Lonchura striata: one gene and its partner. The protein of the gene in region 1 interacts with the protein of each later gene in a biochemical or structural test. Links are inferred from orthologs where the notes say so. Each region holds a gene or a part of one and is shown on either strand. Other genes may lie near its edges.

Evidence for each region.
Region 2: the proteins of MAP1LC3C (region 1) and STK3 form a complex in vitro, tested with the Homo sapiens proteins (2 studies listed by BioGRID and IntAct). The link is inferred for Lonchura striata from reciprocal best matches to the Homo sapiens genes MAP1LC3C and STK3.

The regions. Positions count from the first base shown.
Region 1 is NC_134605.1:47,768,313-47,779,579, reverse strand, and holds MAP1LC3C (microtubule-associated protein 1 light chain 3 gamma), read left to right. Parts: upstream 1-7,230; coding exon 7,231-7,288; intron 7,289-7,370; coding exon 7,371-7,426; intron 7,427-7,545; coding exon 7,546-7,652; intron 7,653-8,650; coding exon 8,651-8,861; 3' UTR 8,862-9,187; downstream 9,188-11,267.
Region 2 is NC_134603.1:22,421,451-22,432,753, reverse strand, and holds the start of STK3 (serine/threonine-protein kinase 3), read right to left. Parts: upstream 4,534-11,303; 5' UTR 4,381-4,533; coding exon 4,358-4,380; intron 1-4,357. UniProt on the Homo sapiens protein: Stress-activated, pro-apoptotic kinase which, following caspase-cleavage, enters the nucleus and induces chromatin condensation followed by internucleosomal DNA fragmentation.

The DNA of each region.
Region 1 (11,267 bases):
TTTTGCACTTAACAGTTACATGGAGTCAATGCTACATAAGGGATAGGGACAAGAGTGAGTCTGAGTAATTTGGTTTGACTTTCCACAGTAAAAAGTGATGGAAATGAATGCCTCAGCTGTTGTGAAGCTAACTTGATTTCCCAATAAACTCTTAGTGATACATGGAAATACACTTCACTATTTATATTTCAGCATAATATTCAACATAATTCCGTGTAGGAAGACACAGTTCACATGGATAGATGTAAAAAAGCAGCATATGAAGAACTAGTGGAAAAAGGAAAAGTTGTTTGAAGGAGAGAATACTATAAACTCAGAAAAGCACCTGATTAAGTATTTAAAGATGTATTGAAACTGAATGGGGACAGCTCTTGATTTGCTGTCTAAAAGCTTAATGTGTCCTTCTGCAGTCCGATCGCAGCCTTCTTGGAGTCGTTTGGTTTGAATGAAAACCCCCAGCCTGCAAGCAGAGACTGTTTCAGACAGGAACACATCTTACTGCTGAGCCCAAGAGACTTAAGTAGCAGCATACAACATCCATCATGCTGGTGCAAACAGCCAAGTGTGCATGTGCAGGGAGAAGATTTCTATTTGTCAGAAGGGTCCATGGATCTAACACTCCAGTTGCTCCCTCTGGACCATTATTTTCTAAGTGTGGTTCAACCTTGTGTTTGAGAGGTCCTCTTTAAAACTAGAGGAAAATTTACACTTGTCCTCTATTAAAAAGGATGCTACTTGGGCCCAGTAGAAACTAAATGACACTATCCCATGCATTTGCTCCAAAGGTCTTCATCACAGACAAACTGATACGAAGTATTGACAATATGAAGGATCCATATCAGAAGCCTAACATTGAGTGACCCAGATACCACTCTGAGTCATTTGGTCCTTACATATGGGCTCCCTGAAGTTACCAACAGGAGCTTTTTACTTTTTACTGCCAGCAACCACATCTACCCTGTTAATCTGTCTTTTTATAGGATGAGAGTTTCACCAGATCTCAGACCTGCTTTACCTAATCGTTAATTTAAATCATGAAAAAAAAATCCTCTTCAGCAATATTTCCCATGCAGGATTCTTCTTGTTCTGAGAGTCTCCCTTACAAACACTGAGGTGTCAGGAAAAAGGCCATTTTGTGGTGCTGGTCGCCACGGTATGGTTAGAGTCACCAACAGTAACAATTGCATATCTATTCCTGACCTTGGCTCTTGTTGGGTGCACTATGAAACTGGCATTGCATTGCTTCTCAAGACACTGTTCAAAAGAGTATAGGGAACCCGAAAGCATACAGGTAGTGAAAGTCACCTGCTTTCCAAACACAAGAGTTTCTCTCTTCCTCTGTCCACTGGCCATAAGAAAACAGGGCTCATCATCCCTAGTTAGACTCCTGAAGTAGACAATTTTGAGTATCTGCTAATGTTTGGGTTACAATTTGCAGTAATCCCATATCAGTCCATAGCACTTTCCAGCATTTTTATATCCAATAATTGTTTGCATTTCTCCAGAGCCTCATTCATAGCACATGAGTATGACCTGAGCTCTGCAATGCATTTGTTATGCAGCCAAGTACATGATATGGTTCAGGGGCTTGGCCAGGTCCCAGCACTTGTTTAAAATCACAGAAGTAGAATAGGTGGCTCAGTACAGCCACCAAGAATAGTTATCTGGGGGTCTTTCTCTGAAAATAGCTGAGCAACATCCCACTCTTTTGCATACATGAATCTTGACATTTTTCCTAACAACTTTAAAAAATTCCCTAAAAACAGATTTTTGAAACAAAGTAAACAGTCTTGACAGTGTAAAGAAGGAATCTAATCTTTCCTTTATACTTAGATTTTTATTCTTTGGATTTGGACCTAAGCCTTAGACATTTCTGCTGAAATCATTTAAAAAGGACTTCAAGTCCTGAGAGCCACAGTTGCTAAGTACCTAAATGGGGGTACCTTAAGAGTCCAGATTTTCATTAAGGACAGAACAATTTCCCAGTAGGGATCAGGCCTCTTACATATCCACCTGAGAGAAGAGGTATCCAAGGAGTCCCAGTCACTCCTGGAAACTCTGGCACTGCTCTCCTGATGAGGCTCTCAACCCTGACAGAGAGCTTGACTCTCTTGCCCCTTCTGTCAGAAGGATCAAACAACAAAGTTGCCAGCTTCACAGTGACATGTTGAAGCTATTTTTAAAACCCTCTACTATGTGTCAAACAGACAGTAACAAACAGCCTTTTTGAAGGCTAAAGTAGAAGCCAGTTTCCAGTATATACAAACCAAAACCCAATGGATACTTTTGGCATTGTCTGTCGCATTCTTTGGAACCTCAACAGGGAGGACAGGAAAAGTCTGCAATAAAGCCAAAGACATCCTATCTGAAAAGAACTGAACTACATTGGACAAAATACTTTAAAGCCCTGCATGGAAGAAAAAAACACTTCAAACATTATTATGATCATATTTGGACAAAGAGTAAGTTTTATATCCATATTTGCAGAGCAAGTGATGCTGTTGCTTCTCACCAAGGCACCAGCATCAAGAGCTGTACTCATAGTAGGAGCATTATTAAAACCAGCAAACCAGAGTGCAAATGTTCTACCAAGTCAAACAGCAGACACAGCAAGATAAGAAAGAAATTGTGCCCATAATTCCAGTCCACAAGAAGAACACTGCTTTAGTTTCACAAGGAAATTGCCTAGTAGCAACAATATCAGTTCTGTTTTTTCTGTAGACAGAAAACAAAACACATTGCATTTTATTAGTGGTAATAAGAGAACAGATGATAGGAAAGGAAGATCCAATAATGCTTTTTCCTCTTTAACATTTGCCTAGACCTTGAGTTCAGCCCCTGTATGTCAGGATCCATCGCTGTACGGGCCACCAATTGTCAGCATTGGTGCTTGGCAGTAACCAATGGTAGATGGTAACTGACTGCCACTGTTAGTTTATTATCTTACTGTAAGACTTTCATACCTTCTCCCTGTGAGTTCTCATGGGCAGTTCTCACAACACTGGCTCCTTTTCCTTCCACACAGCTGCCTGACCCTTTCTCATCACAGCCAAGTGACTCCAACTCTCCCTCAACCAGCTGAGCCACTCTTTTATAACACCCATCCTTACTGGACACAGCTGTGACATATTAAAGGCAAGGCTGTTCCTACTCTTTGGTAATTAGTACAGCTGCAACTCATCAGGGGCAAGATTGCCTTCAGCACTGTCTCTATTCTCTCACAATCCATTCTCCCACACCTGTAGGGCAAAAAGCCAGTGAACCACTGCTACAGCAGGAAACAGAAAGTCAAAGATGTACTTGCAGGGGCTGTGACCAACAGGTTGCCAGCTCACACCAGCTTTTCTCAAAGAGAGTAACTGATTTATTTTTGGCTTTATGTCTAGTCAGAATCACCAATTTGAGTAACCCTTGCTGAAAAATACTGAAAATTTAGGTCTCAAATTCTTGTAAAATTTAAAATGCTAAACTATGAGCACTTATGTGTGAAAGAACTTAAAACACTACTGAGGATACACCACTAGAGCTCAGCTCTTTCAATATGGTTGAAAATTCAGCTAATTAATATTGAGAGCAATTTTAAAAATCTTGAAATGAAAGAGCACAATGAAGAGAAAAGTACAACTGGTGCACTTTAATCCAAATACTAGTTTAAAGAAACTATTCCATCACAATGAGCTGAATACCAGGCATACAGGCAAAGATAAGAGAGAACTATTGAGTCTAACTGAAGTTTCTTCTGTGGAAGAGACATTTTAAGATCAAAATCTCAAGCTCTGGTACAAAACAGTAATGTAATCTCTGGTTTAAAAGTATCATAAATAATTTCTAATCCTTGTGGCTACACCAAGAGATCATCAGTTATGATGTAGGTTCAATATAAGAGTTCAAAAATCAAGAGATAAAGAAAAAGAGCCAAAAGTACATATAAACCCTAGTCAATCAAGTGAGAAATACCACTGCTGACCTTGAAATTTATCTCAGCATTTTGAGACAAGTTTATAATCTGAGTCTTATTAGTGGGTGACCTTGGACCAAAATCATACTACAGTACTAAGCATCGCCTTAAACATAATAATACTCCAGCTAACTTTTTTGGTATAAAGACTTATGAATTCACAAATTTAGTTACTGGCACACAATAACTTCAGGCTTATCCATAAGAGTGGGCTTGCTTCTGTGTCACAGGAGGACATACAGACAGATTCAGAGTTGCAGAAGAAAGAAGTAAGTAAAGGATTCCATATCTGTAACTACCTGTGTTCAGGAAACATGCAAATATTTAGGATGGCTCTTTGAAAACCCATTAAATTGGTTGGCTGAGCCTGACTGCTTGAGGGCTCTTCAAAACCTCCTGATTATTTTCACTTTCAACCTCATGGTTCACTTACAACCCCCATGGAAACATGTATTTAAGATAACTATGCATAATACTGTAGAACTTCACAGGCTTTCGCAGAGCGACAAATAAGCCCTCATTTTGCCAAGTCACATTTTTCCCCTAAGAACATCATGCTGCAGTTTCTCTTGCTATTCAGTTAGGTTGCTTAAATAATCTCAGTCCTTATAGCACTGTATCATTCATATTTAAATTATTAGTCTACAGATAACTTGAGCCTTACATCCACAGTATCTCACAGATCCAGATGAAAGCAGTGCAAGTCTCACAGCATTTGCAAAAAGTAGATGGCTGCTTTTGGCTAAATTGTTGACTCCCTGGGACACATTGGAGTGTTTGAGAGCACTTGCAGAGCAGATCATTTCAATATGGAGACAGTGGACACATGAGAACTCAATCACACAGCTGCAGACCTTGGGCTTTGGAAGAGGCTATGGATGTGGCAATGAAACAACTAGATAAGATACAGAACTCTGACTTTGTCCTTTAATGTTTGGGGACTTAAGGATGCCTGTAAGTGCTGGCTTTGGACATTCGAGCAGGTAGAAACTTTTGTCCTTCCATTTCTGTATCAATAGTATCCTCTGAGTATTCCATTCTCTACACAAAATTGCTCTATCAGCTCATTAATTATGTGCGTGTAAGAAAAACTTCCAAAGGAAAGGATGTAAGAAGGAATAGATTCCACATTTAGGTCTGAAACTGAGTATTTCACTGCAGAAGCAAGTATAGGTGCTATGCAGGCACATTAGACATCCCATTCTCTCTACCTCCAGAAAATTATTAATTAGCACATGCTAATTAAAGCCTGGGTTTATGCTCACTCTTAACTCTCACAGACATTAGAGCCATAACTGATCACCAGGCTTGCTAGGAAATCATCTTTTTGGCTCACCTTCTTACCAGGTTTTCACTTTCCTTTCCAGATGCTGCCATAGGAGTTTATGAACATGAAAAGAAACCACCTCTCCCTGCAAACAAGGCAGCTGATACCTGGGTGGAGCCACACTTTTGTACTTCACCTGCAGTGAGAGGTGACACAGGAAGCAGAGCATGGGTATAGATAGCAGGTTCCCTCTTCTCTACACAAGGTGGATCACAGCTCTTTCTACTGAATCTACTAGGTAGAACCAGAACGAGGGTGTGGGAAAACCGATACACTTCCTGAACAGCTTTGGAAAGCCCCATGCTTGACCACAGTTCCAAAGAAACACTCTGTGATCTCCACACATCCTCCTGTCTCCTACAGGCTTTGTTCCTGTGCTGTCCATGCAGTTTCTTTACTCTTCAAATTATTCCTATTTTCCTTCATCTTCTTAGATACAACTCACCATACTGAGTTAAGGCACTATGTCAATTCTCTGGCACACATCCTCCTTCACTTAGCCTTCCTCAGTCTCTCACCTCACCTCTATTCAAAAACCCTTAAACTAGACCTAGCTACTCTAAGCCAATCCCTGGGCTTACCTCCCCTCATGCAAAGATCAAATCATAGGGATGAGCTGGACTCAAACCATTCTAGCATAGGCTCAAGGCCTTTCTCAAAGTTCAGAGCTCTTGCCTATGAGTCCCTCAAAGCCAAGTATCTACTCTGCAAAATAAAATTTGTGCTGCCACGTGGGGGAGCTTGTGCTGTGGCTGATGCTCATCGCTTCCAGATCAAGAGAAAAGGACAGCTCAGCAGCCTTAAGGACTGCAGCCACTGCAAACTCTGTTCTGGAGAGGCTGTTTGAAAAACCTGACACGTGTAGATAGTACACAGACACTTTAATAAAGACGTTCCTTTTCAAAATTATCTTGGGTGACAGTAATTGACTTTGCCATAGCTTGTAAACTGTAAGTTGTAAAAATTTGCAAATTCTAGTTGCCCTTAACCTGGTAAAATAATAGAGTTTAGACTGGAAAATACCTGTAAGATCCTTGAGTTTATCCATTAACTAGCACTGTCAAATCCATCACTAAATCACGTCCCTAAGCACCATATCAACTAGATCATGATCAGAATGATAGATAAAATAAAATGAAAATTCCTATATTTTAAAGGGATAAGCAAAGCAAACAAGTAATAGGGCTCAGTTCCAGACCCCCACTGAGATGATTTATAAACACAACCACCAGACTGGAGTCAACTTTAGCCCTTGCTGAGCCATCTTCATCTGCAAAGCCGTCTTGACAGCTGAAGCAAACTCAGGTGAACCAGCAATCCAAAAGGCAAGGAATCATACTTACCAAATAGATGGACTTGAAGTCTTCTTGAAACCCCTTAAAATCACAACTGTGCCTCAGAGACAAAACCAGAGCTAAAACTCAGCTCTCGAGAAAATAAGCAGTCTGGTAGCCTGAGGAGATGAAAAATGACAGGGGCGGGTGGTTGGGTTTTTGGGTGGAGGTAGTTTTTTTTGTTTGCTTTTGGAGTTTTTTGTGTACGTGGAGTAGATTGTCTCGTTCTCTTTTCAAACCAAAGACATCGCTTGAAAGCTGTTTGTCGGTATGAAGAAGGCTGCTCACGTGGAAAGGGAAGACAGCTGGGGGCCACTCCAGCCGTGAGCTGCACCCCTGAACCACTGGGCAGGCTAGACCAAGCCCTCTCACGAAGCACGGCAGCGTCCCGGAGCCAGAACAGCGCGCTGCGGGGCGGCCGGGAGGGGCGGGCTCGGCGGCCGCGCCTCCCCCGGGCGGGGCGGGGCCGGGCGGTCCCGGGCCGGGCCGGGCGGGGCGGGGCCGGGCCGGGCGGGGCGGGGCCGGGCCGGGCGGGGCGGGGCCGGGCCGGGCGGTGCCGCTCCGTGCGAGGCGCGGGCCGGCGGGCGCAGCGGCGGCCCCGAGGCGGGAGGATGCGGGCGGCGCCCGGCGCGCAGCCGGACCGGCCCTTCAAGCTCAGGAAGAGTCTCGGTAGGGGCGCCGGGGGCGCGGAGGGCTGCGCGGGTCGCAGGGGCTGCGCGCACACGTAACGCTTCTCTTCTCTGCCCCGCAGCCACCCGGCGGGAAGAAGTAGCAGGGATCCGAGCCAAGTTCCCGACCAAAATCCCGGTAAATCTCTGGTTTGTTATCGGAGCTTGTTGCCGCTGTTTAAGGAAAGAAGCGTGTGAGGGGAGGGAAAAGGATATGGATATTTTAGGTTTTGCTAAGTGTGACTCTAATTAAAACAGGTAATTGTTGAGAGGTACCATAAAGAGAAATACCTTCCTCTCTTGGACAAAACCAAGTTTCTGGTTCCCGAGGAGCTGACCATGGCACAGTTCATAACCATCATCAGGTGGGTAGTGCATACTACTTGTTTGGATTTGCACCTGGACTTGGCTGCTGTTCCCAGGGAAGGTATTTCCTAGTGTGCTGCTGGGGACATCTTGCTTCCTTTGGTGGGTGGGAGGATAACACTAAAGGTGTTAGTAGTGTAATGGCTTCCTTCTCTTGCAAGTGTTTGAAGATAATAAACAGATGTTTTCATAGGTGCATTTGTGTGAAAAATGTGGTCTTTTTTGGGTTCATAGTCCCCTCCCTTCTCTGTAATTGTAGTGAAAAAAGACTATGTAAGACTCTTGTTCTGCTCTTTTCCTGCCTCATGGACTTGATACTGGGGCTCTGTGATCTTGTTCTGCTTATGACTCCCACTGCCTTGCTCTCTTAGTGCACCTAGCTGAATTAGCTTAAGTTCAAAGCAGCTCTTGAATGTGAGCAAAATGAAATGTTCTAAATTATTCTTTGTGAAACAAAGTCGCCCAAAATACTCAGTGGTATTTTCTGACAAAATGTGAAAGCTATGTTTTTCAGCATACTTTTTGAAGTATAGAAAAAGATCTTTCTAGATTGTAACTTCTGTAAAAGATGCTTTTGGCTCTTGGTCAACTTAGATTGTAATCCTTGCATGTAATGTCTCTGAAAAAGACTTGTTTTTTGAAGGTAGACTTTATAGTAAATGTAACAGACTGGAGCTGGACTCCTTTACAAAATCTGCACTATGGAAGCTTTTGGTTTCTTCTTTGGTTACTCACACTTTTTCCTGGTAACTGGGATCTCCAAGCTCATGCTCGGTAGCACCTTTGGTGTAGCCATGTAAGCCTTTCCTCAGAGCACAGGCCTTTGAGCTTCCAGTTAAGTTCCTGCTGATGGAAGAATGTAACAATAACTTTACACAGCATTTCTTGTACCTACTTCATGCAACTGCTCTGCTTAATGCATGTCATAGACTGAAGTTGAAATCATATTCAGCTTGCTAATGTTTAATCCTCTTTTTCTCCTCTCTTTTTCAATTAGAAGTAGGATGGCTCTTACAGCTACACAAGCTTTCTACCTGCTGGTGAACAACAAAAGCCTAGCCAGTATGTCCTTGACAATGGCAGAAGTGTACAGGGACTACAAAGATGAAGATGGCTTTGTGTATATGACCTATGCTTCCCAGGAGATGTTTGGATGCTTATTACCCACTGCCCAAGGGAAAACCATGGAATGCTTTCAGAAAATCTAAGATTGGGTTCATATGCTGCAGCAAAGCAGTTTGCTCTGAATCATGCCTGTGACATGAACCTCGGAGATACTCCTTCCAGTGTGAGCTCTTGAGCTCTGTAGTGGGAGTTATGATCCAAAAGCTGGCAGGACCAGCTTAAGACAGAAATGGTGGTACACTTTCCTTAGGTAATAATTTGGATATATATTTTTATATTTGAAGACACTATGGGTTAGGTTTTTTTCTTTTGAACTGCACCTCCACTGCTTTGCAATATCAGTCTTTGTTGTCAAACTGATTTTTAAGGTTTCCTGAAAGCCTAAGAGAAAAATAAAGAACCTTTTAAGTATTGAGTTGAATATTATTTTTAATCTGGGGAAAGACTCTAAAAATTTGTCTAGGAGAAGCTCCTATAATAATTTTGGGAATCAATGCTTTTTAAATGAAACACTGCTTGCACAGCTACTCTGAACTTTTGAACAAAGTATCAGTTTTAAGTTGTGTCACCCATGAGCAAAGCCATAGCATGAAAAGTTCATTAAGATAGGTATCTGGGCTGTGAGATTAAGTAGTAGTGCCAGAGCAGTGTAGAGTTTAACACCCAAATAAACTGTCAGCTGTTACAGAAAACACTCTCTGTGGTATAGATAACTATTTAAATAAGCAACCTGATTGCTAATTAGCATAACTGAAATGCAGATAGCAGGATTTGAATGGTAATAAAGTTTCAAGAGTTATTTTCTTGCTACTGAATTTTGCTAGCATGGTTACTCTAGATACTGTCATATCCATTCCCCTACAGGCATATCCTGAAGGACTTTGGTGAGCCTTCTCTCAAAAACAGAGACAAATCATGTACTTTGTGATTAAGAGATATTCCAGTGTTTCTGGAAAATGTTGAAAATATAAAAAAAAACATGTAGTAAAATGTTGATTCATCTTAATGTACAGGCTTGGTTCCTATAAACATGTATTAAAGGAACACTTGACATGAGCCTTATTCTGAAGTATAGCTCAAGCTGCCTTCCTTGTATGTGAGGAATGTATTAGAAAGCTGGAAATGCTCTGATCATGCATGATCAACTAAAAACACCAAGTAATTTAAATATCTGTCACAGTTTGCAGTTTGTTAATCAACCTCTGGCAGACTCAGTTTAGGGTTGGTCAAATTGTTACAATATGATGCAATTCTTCTGTTCAGCACTAAACTGCAGAATTATTAATGTAGGAATAACTAGACTGCAAAGAAAGAAGTGTTGACAGTATTTAAGTTATGCTTAAGGAAGGAATGTGTGTGTAAGCTTTTTGCAGTGGTTCTCTTGCATTAATAATCTCTTGAATATGAAGTTCTGAGCAGATCTGGGTTTGAGCCTCTAAACCAGGGGTTTTAGAGGAGTACCTGCTGTAGTGGAGGTGATGTTTGCCAACTCGTGTTTCATGAGCTGAGGAACAAAGAAATCATTGAACTGACCTGTGGAAAGGATAAGGCTGTGTTGGTATAGGTTATAAAAACATGCGAGCTTTGGGATGCCAGAATCAGTCCCTTGGATATATTTCACTTACCCTTGTAATGGAAACAGTTTCCACTGCAGAAATTGAAGTCCAATAGTCATTTGTCACCAGCCCTTCAGGGAAGCAGAGACACCTGCTTGGCAGGAGCACCATAAAGAAATGCTGAACAGCTGTGGGAACCTTGGGGTGGGAGGAGCAAGGGGAGACTTCCTGTGTTGAAGCTCTCTTGCCAGCCAGAGTTGGGCTAATATTTTGCTTCAATGGCTCCTCTGTCTTCCTGTCTTGTCTAATACTTGGTATATGAAGAGAGAAGCACTACAGTTTCTTGGCTGGAACAATTTTGTCTGACAGCCAACTTTCTTTGGTTTGTAATGCAGTGGCTGAGGTGTAAGTGTTGATCCCTCCAGCATTTATTAACATTAGGGTATGGTGTCTACAGGCGGAGTCACAGATCTAGCCCAAAAAGTTGCACAAGAAGAATGTCACTTGCAGGTAAAGAGCATCATTATAAACTTGTTTAAACTGGCCTGATGAACCTAGAAATAAGTCCTGTGAACTGGGAAAGGATCATTGGGTAATAGTAATAGACCTGCTTTTCTATCAGATGTTGAAGTTAGGATATTAACTATCAAAGACAGTTTTCACAAAATCTTAAAATAATAAACTAGGAGTTACATGCCCAAATAAATATGTTGTCTTGCTTGTGGAATTGCCTTGGTATGATTAGAAGATTTGAATTTAGCTTATTCTCTCTTGAAGTGCAAAAAACAAGGATTAGAAAAGAAGCAAACAGAAAAACTGCTCAGACTGACATATGCAACTGAGATAGCTGCAGCTACTTCCAATGTAGCTGTTGTTTGAAGAGCTAATATTTACTCAAGCAAATAATTACTGATTAGAAAGAGGTATATTTTT
Region 2 (11,303 bases), on another chromosome or scaffold:
CATGTTACAAGACCAAATCACACTTAACATTAAGGTAGCTTAATACAAAACCTATTTCCAGTGAGAAAGGTACATGGCCTCAGGAATGTCATCACCAAATACTGTGCTCAAAGCACCTCCCCCGCTCGTCACAAGCACTGTAACAGTACAGATGCTGGGTAAGATGTTCAAGTGATAGTATCAACACCACAGGTCTTTGAATCAACAAAAAATCCTAATGACTCAGACATTCTAATGATTTCTGTTTCTGGATGTTTAAATATTCAGCTCTTGAACTGCAGAACATCAGGTGATATACCCTGAAGGGCTGCAGTGAAGACAGCATTGCTATAAACTCCAGGAGAAACAAGGAAGAAGGTGGCGACTGGTGTAACTGGCTGCAAAGCACCAAGCAGAATACAAGAAGAGACTAGAAATAGTACCTTGTTGCTTAAAAGCAACAATCTTAGGGCAGAGAAACACATCTAAGAGTTCAGCATCAGCTTTTACTGGCAGAGGGAAGGGGGCAAAGTGAAGAGGGGGCAGGAGGCAAAAATGAAGAGATAAATGGCACAAGAGCAATAGGAGAGAAAGACAGAATGTGTCTCACTCTCTCCCTCACTGATTCCCTACCTTCATAACACAAGCATTTAAAACAGAACAAATAAATCAGCACATCCAGGCACTGCTTTACTCTGGCCAAAGCATGCAAGTCCCATACGTCTGTGTATGTATGTATATATATCTCCATATATGAGAAAGTCCAAAGGAGATGCAGAGAAGTTCAGTATAAAACCTGGACAAAGTTGTTCTGAGTTACTTTTTTCTCTAGAATCTAAGTTATCGGGTAGTGATTATGAGCTATTTTAGAGGTCTTCTAGAAGGGAAGCTGGTCCTTAAACCAGAAGGATTAACTAAATTACACTTCTGGGAAAGGCCTGTGAAAACTATTTTCTTGTTCCAAGGTTTAACTTTCACATAACACCTTGTCTCTTAACAAGGAAAACACATCCTAGCAAATAATTATACTTTTATAAATCCAGTTCATACGAGAAAACATTAATTCCTAGTCTGACCAGAATCTTAGATGCCATTGAGTACATCAGAAAAACTCTAGAAAAGGAAAACCTAGTAGGCACTCAATAACAGCATAAAGATCAGAAAAATTTGAACTGCAACACGAAAGAGCAAGAGATTTCCTCCCTAAAAAATGAAAGGAAAAAAAAAACATGACAATAGTACCCTACAGTCTTTATATATAGATTTCACAAAATAAATTGGTGATGTGCTACAGCGGTAGGGATAAAAAATCCTTGAAAGTTCAAAAATCAAACTAAAGCTGGAATAAAGAATAGAAAGCCATCAATGACTGTCATGAGTTACAAAAAACTGGACAGCCGCTCCAAGAAACATGAATATATACAGTTTATTGTGCAGAAGAACTAGCACATTGAAACATTTAAAAAGAATGGCTGGGATCAATTATACTGATATATTAAAAGAGAAGGTAGTAGGAGCAATCACTGCAGTCATCTGAAGTAGAAGTGGCAGGTGGAAGCCTTGGGACATTTGTTCTGCTTCACAGCACTCACACAAGTAGAAGCAAGATTAAGACAGTTTACACCACTGTGCTGTGTACTTCCATTGAGCATCCTGCCAGCAAAGCCCAAACATTTTTGTTTCATCATTTTCAGGAGGAACTTGACAATTGCCAACATGTCCACTGACACACACTTTAAAAAACAAAAACACACTTTTTCACAAACAATTTGTATTCTAATAACAAGTTTTTATTAGAACATGAAAAGGAAAAGCTTCCTTTTTCCACAAAGCCTGAAATGTTGTGTTTTTCAGTGAACATTAAACTCAAGTTTAAAGAAAGGACTGGAAAATCTTCATTAACACTTCCCATGCTTGTTAAGCAGACTTTTATTTGACAGCAACATGCAGGAGATAGGCAAGATTAAAACCTATGTACTTGAGAAAATTCTGTCAATAACTACTTTGGTTTTCCCTTGTATGCAACCTGTATCCTCACATGCGAGCTTGCCAGGGATACAGAAAAACAAAGCAATAACAACCAAGGAAAATCACACCACTAAGAGGCAAATTTTGTAACTATTTCAAGAGTAAATCTCCTTCCTAGTGAGAGAAAAATCTATAAAGCACATCTAAAGTACAATTAAAGATTCAAGATGCAAGAAAACACTGTGTCAACTACTGCACTAATTGTTCAGCATAAAATCAGAAAATCTACTCTAAATTATTTCTAAAATTTAAAATATTCTGAAAAGGAGTCTCCCTTTAAAGTCTGGTGTTAGTGCTGCAGTGCATTAGTCAAATGAAAAAAGTGAATTATTTTGATAGCACCTCCATTGAAAAGTCACAATGGCTTAGAATGTCACTTGGGCATCACCACTGCTGCTTTCTGAAGGGCTGTATTACAGATTTATACAACAGGCAATTGCCTTGTGTGCTTCACTACAAGGAAGTGCAGATAAAACTGCCCTATACCTATGAGGTAACACTGGGATTCTAGGACATCCATGCAGCTTTTTATTGTACATATGAAATTCCTACTAACTGTAAATGGAAATGCATCACAGATATGATGACAATAGATCCCTCTCAGTAACTGCTCCTGTGAACAGGCACCAAAGTAAAGAATTCTAGTGTTCACATCTGTTTTGCCAAGTAAACACAGTCCATTTCATGCCACTACTGCATCCAAGGACAGCACCAAAAACTTAGCCCACAAAAAATAATCTGCATTTCTTCTGCACTTGCAGAAAAAGGGGGTGGCCTAGAATAGTTGAGAATACCAACAACTGGGAAACTGTACAAAACTACCAATAAAGGAAATATTATGCACAGCCATGAAAAATTTGCTTGAAATCTTAAGAAATAACCTCAGTTAATATCTTGCTGAGTTCAAATTTTCCCTCCCACTAAAGAAACAAATCACAAATTTCCAGAAATAAGCTTCAAAACCCATGTGGAATATAAAAACATGCCAGAGTTTAGATATTCCCACATCTAGTTATTTCTGACCAAATCCAAAGACCTAAATATCTCTTTGTTTCAGTTAGGCCAGACACACACCTCCAGCTAGGTAATAAAGTTACAGCAAATGCCACATCTTCCCCAAAACATTTGGGAGGTTATGCTAACTTCTGAGTTTGATTTTCAGTCCTGTTACACCACCAGTTCCCAACGTTTCCACTGCTACTAGCAACATTGATTACTCCCCAGACTTTTCCATTTCTTTTCCTAAATTTGTGCTGGTGCTTGTCCTACTTCCTTCATTTGAGATATGCAGAACTGTCAGCCTGAAAGTACAGCATAGGTCTGTCCCTTCTTACCCCACTGCCTGCTAAAACCACCCTAGATAGCAACTACAAACCAATTCTTTTTCAAAATTTTCCACAGTAGGTACTGTCACTTTATGAGTTATTGGAGAAGTCATCAGATGTTTAAGACTACATTCTTCTCAAGTCTTATCACCCTACAGGAAGTTGTTTTTAAAGATGTTTTTTCTAAATGGGGAACATATAGGTTTTAAAGATTAATGCAAAAACGTATCTAATATCCTTTATCACAAATTTATATTGCGTAGTCCCTAGATTTTTTATTATCAGGAAGCAAAAGTAAAATCAGAGCTCAAAGGCAGTGTATATATATACGTAAACCATGTAACTACATTCTGTACACCACACAACTATGGTCTGTGTATTGTACAACTATATCTTCTTCCAACTGAAATATATGACTAAAATTTAACACAAAGTTATTTTATGCACTAAGAAGTCAAGTGATACATTATTTTTAAAAACGTGCACAGTAATTAATATGACCTGCCAGTCTATATATTTGAGAAAATACATCTACTGTGGGAATATTCCTGGCTTTTACCTCTTCCCACTCCCCGATTTGCAATTGCAACTATGCAACGCCCACCCCCACAAGCATCCATCCCTCCAGCAGCAGAGCACAAGGACACTTTCCAGCGTGAAAAGAGAACTACTCATGTGTGCTCCTGCCACAGACCTGAACCATCGAGTGAGAGACCCTCAGGGCAGAGAGGACTCTGCTCGGCGACCAAGCTTCCCTCACTTCACGTTAAAAATGTTGTTAACTCCAGCAGCCCCCAGGGGCTCGTCTCCGCCGGGGCTGTATTTCCACTGGAGGCTGTATTTCGGAGGATCCACCGTACAGAAGAGCCCTCCCCACGCGAGAGAGCCCTCCGGCCGCCGGGCAGGGCGCAGGGCTCGGTGCCGTGCCTGTCCCACTGCCCCCTCACAGACCCCGGGCCCGAGGCCTCACCCCGGCCGTGCCACCGCTCCTGGCCGGGGAAGGGGCCGCCGGGGAGGGTCCTTACCTCTTGGGCGCTGCCTGCTCCATGCCGTCCCCGCCGCGGCCCCGCAGGGCCGAAGACCGAGCGCCCGGGCCGGAGCGGCCCCGCAGAGCTCCGGAGCGATCTCACAACCCCGCCACAGAGCCCTCAACCTCCCACGGCCGCGCTCCGGCTGCCGCCACTACCGCTACCTCCGGCCGCGGCGGGGAGCCGCCCCCCCGCGCCGCTCATTGGCTACAGCCGCGCCACACCGGCGCTGATAGGGTGGCGTGGACGTCGCTCAGAGCGGCGGCTGCGAGAAAGCCCCGCCCCCCGCGAGGCAAGCGGGCGCTGCCGCGCCGGCGGGAGGGGAAGATCATGGACGCCGCGGCGCTGCCGAGCTCCCGGCATGCCCCGCGCGGCTACGGCCCGCGGGGCACGCCGGGAGGTGTAGTCCGCCCGCGGGGCGTCCCCGCGAGCCGGGCTGTGCGAACCGGCACCCCCGCGGCGCCGTTCCGCTCCCGCGCTCCGTCCCCGGCTCTGCGCTGCGCCGCCGGGCAGGGCAGCCCCAGGCAGCTCCGCCGCCCAAGGGCGGCCCTTCCCCCGCGGCCGCCCCGTGGCCTCGGGCAGCGCTGCCGGGCGGCCGGGCGTTCCACCGCCTGCGTGCGCCGGGCGAGGCGGCGGCGCCGCGGGCAGCCCCCGCCTGGGCGGGCGGCCGGAGCAGCGCTGAGGGGAAGCCCCGGGTCCGGCGCGGCGGCCGAGCCGCTCCCCGCTGCCACCCCGGGTGGCACGGGCAAGCTCCTGAGGGGAAAAGGGCCGGCGCTTGGCCCTTGGCTCTGTGGTGCCAAAGCACACAGGGTAGCCTGCGAAGCAGGGAAGCTGTCACGTAATTAATTACTCAAGCAGCAGGTTTCAGGCTCCAGAGCACCATGTGACAGCTGCAATTTCACCACCTTACAACTTCGACTTACGTGCTTGAATCAGATGGATCCAAGTAGATGTAACCAAGTCAATACAAGCAAAGCTGACTTGCTCAAGCCAAATTCTATATACTTTCCTGACAGTAGGTTTATTTGCCTAACTAATGGAAGTTCAAGGTAGTAAAACACCTAGGCAAGTTGCATAAAAACACTGAGATGCCCACGTTTCACTTCAAACTGATTTTAGATGTGCAGGTATTACACTCCCACTTCATAAAAATATCTGCACTCCATACGTAATTTCATCTCTTTGATGTGAACTAGCAAGGGAATTTAGAATGAAGTCCTACTGTTGTGCAAGTTCTCTACTTTGAGTCAGTCCAACCCTGTTGACTCATTGTAGTTGGGCCAAATGCACAATGGCAATATTGAATGAACCCACAAAACAAATCACACACCACCATATGACCTTTTAGGTTTCTTTGTTTTTCTGAGTCATGGAAAAACTGCAATAGAACATCTTCTTTTGCACAACAGATTAATGCACAGCTCTTCCAAGCATCATCCCACAAGCCACAGTGTCTCACCAGCAGAACTGCCAGATGTGTCCATAGCATAAACAGCAGTTTGTAGGATATGCCAAAAAAAAAAAAAAAAAAAAAAAAAAAAAAAAAAAACCACTTAAGAAAAGGAGCCAGCAGATGCCTGAGATGGAGTATGGTATAAGTGCCTCAGAAAGTGGTGAGGAGGAATTCCACATGTCTCATTTTCCAGTGAGGTCAGGCAGATAGCAAATGCCACGTGGCCAGTGTCCAGCTTTGTTCTACAGGATATTTGGCTATAGCCACTGACCAATTATTATTTACAATTCACCAATTTCACCTAATGAATCCCTCTTTGGCTTTAATACTTCTGGAATGCAGAGGTTGTCTCCACATCCTTTAACACAAATATTTAAGACAGTATTTTTTCCAGGTTATTTCAGAGGAGGCGAGTTTTGCTGCCACATCTCAAGCCAAAGGTGCCACAGACTTACACATTAAAGCATGGAAAAGGATTCTTAGAAATAAAATACAGGTACTATATTATAGTTGCAACAGCAATACAAAGAAACAGAGCCAAGAAGTGCTCCCTCTCCCCATTCACACATATATTTCATTTTCTGGAAAAACTTAGGCTAAACAGTCTAATCCACCACTTTTACCTCTCCCTTAAACAACAATTGACAAGAACAAAAAATTTTTTTCCAAGCAAAAAACTAGCACATTTAGAAATTTTCTCATTTCATTTGAAATTATTTAATACCACCATCCCCACTTCAAAAAAATACCCTGAGTCCTCAGTAACTGAGGAAGATGGAGAAAGACTATCCTCCATCTATGCCACTGAAGAAAGAAAAGGGTGTCAAAAACTCAAGATGTCTGAAAGAGGAGAAGTTAGATAGCCTGGCTTTATTACATAATGGGGCAGACAGTGCCAAAAAAAGTATGGACTAATTCCATGCCTCTCTCACAGAAATTTAAGTTGTATCTTGTACAATTGCCAGAAAGCTTTCTAAGTACATTTAAACTGAAAATAAAACATCAGTAGGATAACATATTTACCACAGTATTTTTCAATATCACTTTATTAATCTCTTATAATTTCTAGTAGTATTTTTAGTCAGTGACATTGGAATAAATAGCACTATCTCACCTTTCCCCTGTGACATGAATTTGAGAACCATACTGTGAAATATAACACTGATTTGGTATTCATTACAATACTGTACTTAGCCACTGGCAAAGAAGGAACTTTGAAAGGGAAAACAGATTCCCTCTGTTCTCCTACCTCATTCAGAGTTCCCAGTTAAGAGAAGTCTAGATGTTCTGGAGGCATGAATATACTATGAGATTGCTGGTGTCTAGACAAGATGGAGATGAGGAAGTTGCAGACACTCTACATGAGTATTCCCATGATTTCTTCCAACAGCAGGACTAACACTAAGAAGCCAGCTGAGTAAGAAAAGGCTTAATGTAGCCCAATCCTAAAAATGTAGGAGGAAACTAACTGAACTACTCTTTTCTTCTGAAGTATTTTATCCATTTTACAAATTTACCTGCCTGAATTAGGTCGCCCTTCTCTTCAGAATTGGCATCAACATCAAATACAATTCCTTAGGCCAAAGAATGGATGAAGACCATACTTAATTTTTGAGTACTATAATTATTTTATAATACAGTTTTGTAAACAGATAAAATAATATATATTATAATTACTTATACTACAATGAAATCAGAAATCATGATGTATGGACAACTATTAGGTGCTGTAGAAACATACACAAAGGAAGTTCTTAAGCCCCTAAAAATATGAACTAAAAAGTCCTAAGATATCAGTCCTGTCTCAGTGTATATAGTTTGTAATAAAACTAAGAAGAATAAAAATTACTTGAGAAGCTCATGTCTGCATTTTCAACAGGTATTACTAATGTTGGGATTTAAATTACAAATATGTACTTCAAAGTCATTCATAAACATCATGCAAATAAATTACCTATGTTATAGCAGGGACTTTATCTCATCCCTTTGATAGCAAATAAAAGCAGCATTTACTTCAGAAGGTATTAGATCAGGCTCATTTAAACAAAGTACATTGTAATGAATACATGATGCTACTGTAAAACAGCAGAATTAATAAATAGTGTGTGTTTTCCAAGAGATACTTGTCATGAACACTCCCCAAAGAAAATGCCCCTAGTCCTTCATCATGTCTGTGCTGCTTTTCACAGGCCAGCTCTTTTTCCTTGCTTTCTACCCTTTCACCATGGTAGCTCCCATTTCTTTCACACAGACCGGGTCTTCAATGCTCTTTCCCTTGATGTGGAATTATCATCCCACAGTAGCTCCATTCACCTGCTTGGCACACCAAAACCAACAAAAGCCATATAGACCCCCAAGCACGCTCCCAGCTTGATCCTCCCTAAAACCCTCCACATCACTGGTGTCTCACCATGCCTTGGCCCACTCTGGCATTGGCCCACAGAGTCCTAAGGATGCTGTGTCTCCATCACATCTGCAGATTCACTCACAGGAAAAGGTGTTTGGCTCACAGGAGAATGCTGGAGGCCAGTGCACAGCATGGGCCCAAACCCAGGTAAGGACAGAGTTTCCCTTATTTTTCCTTTGCCCTGGAGTAGACTGCCCCACAAGCAGGGCATTCCCTCCTCTACCCTTGAGTTTTGTAAAAATAGGAATTTACTATAATTACAGACCTCCAACTTTCCATGAAACATGTTTAAGACTAGTAAGGTAAGTCACAAATTATTGTGAAGGGGAGAAAGGTAGGGGATGTCAGGCAAGCACAAAGATGGAATGAATTCAGGAGCCTGCTTTCCTTGGAATCCAATTCATAAATTCAGTAGATAAATAGTCAACAACAGCATGTTTGCATATCTCTCCCTGTGACTGCCTGATACTGATCTGGTATGCCGAAAGTTAAGGAAAAGGCCTTGAATGAAATACCAGCTTGTTTATACAGAAGATAAGGAAACTTGACTTCTGCCTGTATTTTCTTCCTACCTATCATGTCTAATGTGAAGTAACCTTGAAGACTTATCTAAGAATTTGTTATATACTTTTCTAACCTTGTCAGTCATAAAATAGTTATACATAAAATATAAAAGAACATAATATTTTCAAGCCTGGAATAAAATTTATATTTTTCTATAGTGGGTTTTTAAGTAAGTTTAGGAATAAAGAACAAGGCATAGAGACAGGGGGCTCTCCTTTCCTGATCTATTCACCATTTAATGGTTAATTAATGTCACTAAAAGGAAAATGAATTTTTGCTGGTCCAACAAAAGAAAGAGGCAGAAGATAAAAAGTCAGGCAATATATAAGTACAGCAATATAGAGTCTGCTATCCATTTCCAGTCTGTTAAAATCAACATGATTCACAAAATTCCTACTTAACATTAAAAAGAGTCATAAAAGGCCTATAAAATATTAGCTGCACTGCTGCAATTCCTTTCACTACCTAGTATACATTATTTTGATATTCAAAATATTATTACTGGACCTAAAACCATTTGTTGATTAGGATAGGCTTTTACTGTTGACTAACCATTTTGTTCACAGTCTTGGTAACAGGCTATATATAGAATTACCATTTGCTATTTTTCCTATTATAGCACACTATGGTAAAAATAAACCATGGATACAGAGTTGCTATTTACAGTTGACCACAGAAGATATTCTAGCCTGTACTACAGCTGCATTGATTGTGCTCATGGGATCTAGATTGGCATTAATAAAATCATTATGGATTGTGAAACAATTACTGTTGTGGTAATACTGAGGGTTACTCTGGATTTTCTTCTGCACAAAAATATTCCTTCTCTTTCTGAGAGCAACCATCTGCTCTCCAGTGTGCAAAGAGGTGTGCTCACACCCTGGAGAATAAATAAGTAACATTTAACTAGCAAGCCTTCATGCCTGCAGCCAGGGTGGAAACTAGTATCAATAACAAAAGAAAGATTGAATCATCATTACTTGATGAATCAAGTACTTCATGAAAGCAGCTTCAGCTGTGTGAGTACACACAGCCTTATGGCCAAGGCTTCCACCACCATGGTGGCTGGATTTTCTCCTATCTTCCTTAAGCTTCTGAGATGAGAATTTTAATAATACATGGTCAAAATATTTAGAGAAGATAAGGATTTTTTTTTTTTTTACAATTTTTGGGCATAAAGATTTCAAGAGGCTAACAAGACCCATTCTTTCAGATTCAAAGGAGGGAAGTTTCCTTGCCTTTGTGGGCCTTTCACCTAAGTGCTGGAAGAGAAGTTTCAATATGTGTGATGCCAAATGACAGAATAAAAAATAAGGAGAACTCAACAACCTGAAAACAGATTGTGAATATTGAGCACTGCAAAAACAATGCCATTAAGTACTTACAGTTTATTCAGTTACAGAGTTTTGGGGTTTTTAGTAAAACCCTTCCTATTTATTTCTGAAGTGCATCTCCAGCTTGCTTCATAAATATTAAAAAGCAATTGTTTTTATGAAGAAGAATCACTCATCTAAATGCTTTACAATCCAGAAACCACATTTCAGTTTCTTACTTTTTTCCAACCTTCCCAACCAAAGCATGCCATAATAATTCAAGTCCAAATAAGTTATTTGTACAACATGTACAGTGACACTTAAAAAAAAATCCAAAACCTAAATACAATTCCAGTCCTAAAACTTCACTAAAAAAAGTGTTCAGGGACATAACAGACATTTCATGACTGAATATGAGGTAATGTGTCTGATTACAAGATAAGGACCACTGGAAAAATCTAAACATTTGCAAATCTAAAGATTTGCACTTACATTCCCATTTTGCACTTAAAAGCAGTGGGAAGCCTTCCCCACAGCAGCCTGTGTGCTAAAGAAAATCAAAGTAGCAAATAATGAATTTTCACAGAACTGGCTTTGTACAATTCACTCCTTTGTCTCTTCTAAGCAAGTTTGGTTTGGTTCAACAGGGGAGAGTTTTATGGCATCCTCACCATTACCCAGGATGAGTCTTTAAACTGCTGTCACTACTGAGCAGGGGAACTTTCTGCTGAAAACAAGATTTCAAAGAGACTAAAGTGTATATATGTAATGCTAAAAACGTAGAGGAAGTTACTATCTAGAGAGCTAATTAACCCCATTAAATTTGAGAACTAAGCTTTTTCCACTATTCCTTCCTTAAAAATAATTTTCTTAGTGGATGATAAATGGATTTCGTTAATACCACAAGAGAATTTATCAACAGCCATCAAAGCAACTCATTTTTACCCAGCCTAGAGTTAACAAAAAGAAAAAAGTTTTGGTGGCATGATTTTCTTTCAGAGCTGAGGAAAATAGAGCAATTCCATATGCTAGGAGCTTTCCTAATAGAAACATTTACCACATAAGGAATATCACATGCATACCACTTCCACCTAACATGAATCACTCCTTCCAGTTGAGAAAACTAAGGTCTTTTATCTTCCTCAGGGTGGAGTCCATCTCCTCCCATAGATCCCTACAGAATAAAACTGCTAATGGTTTTAAGAT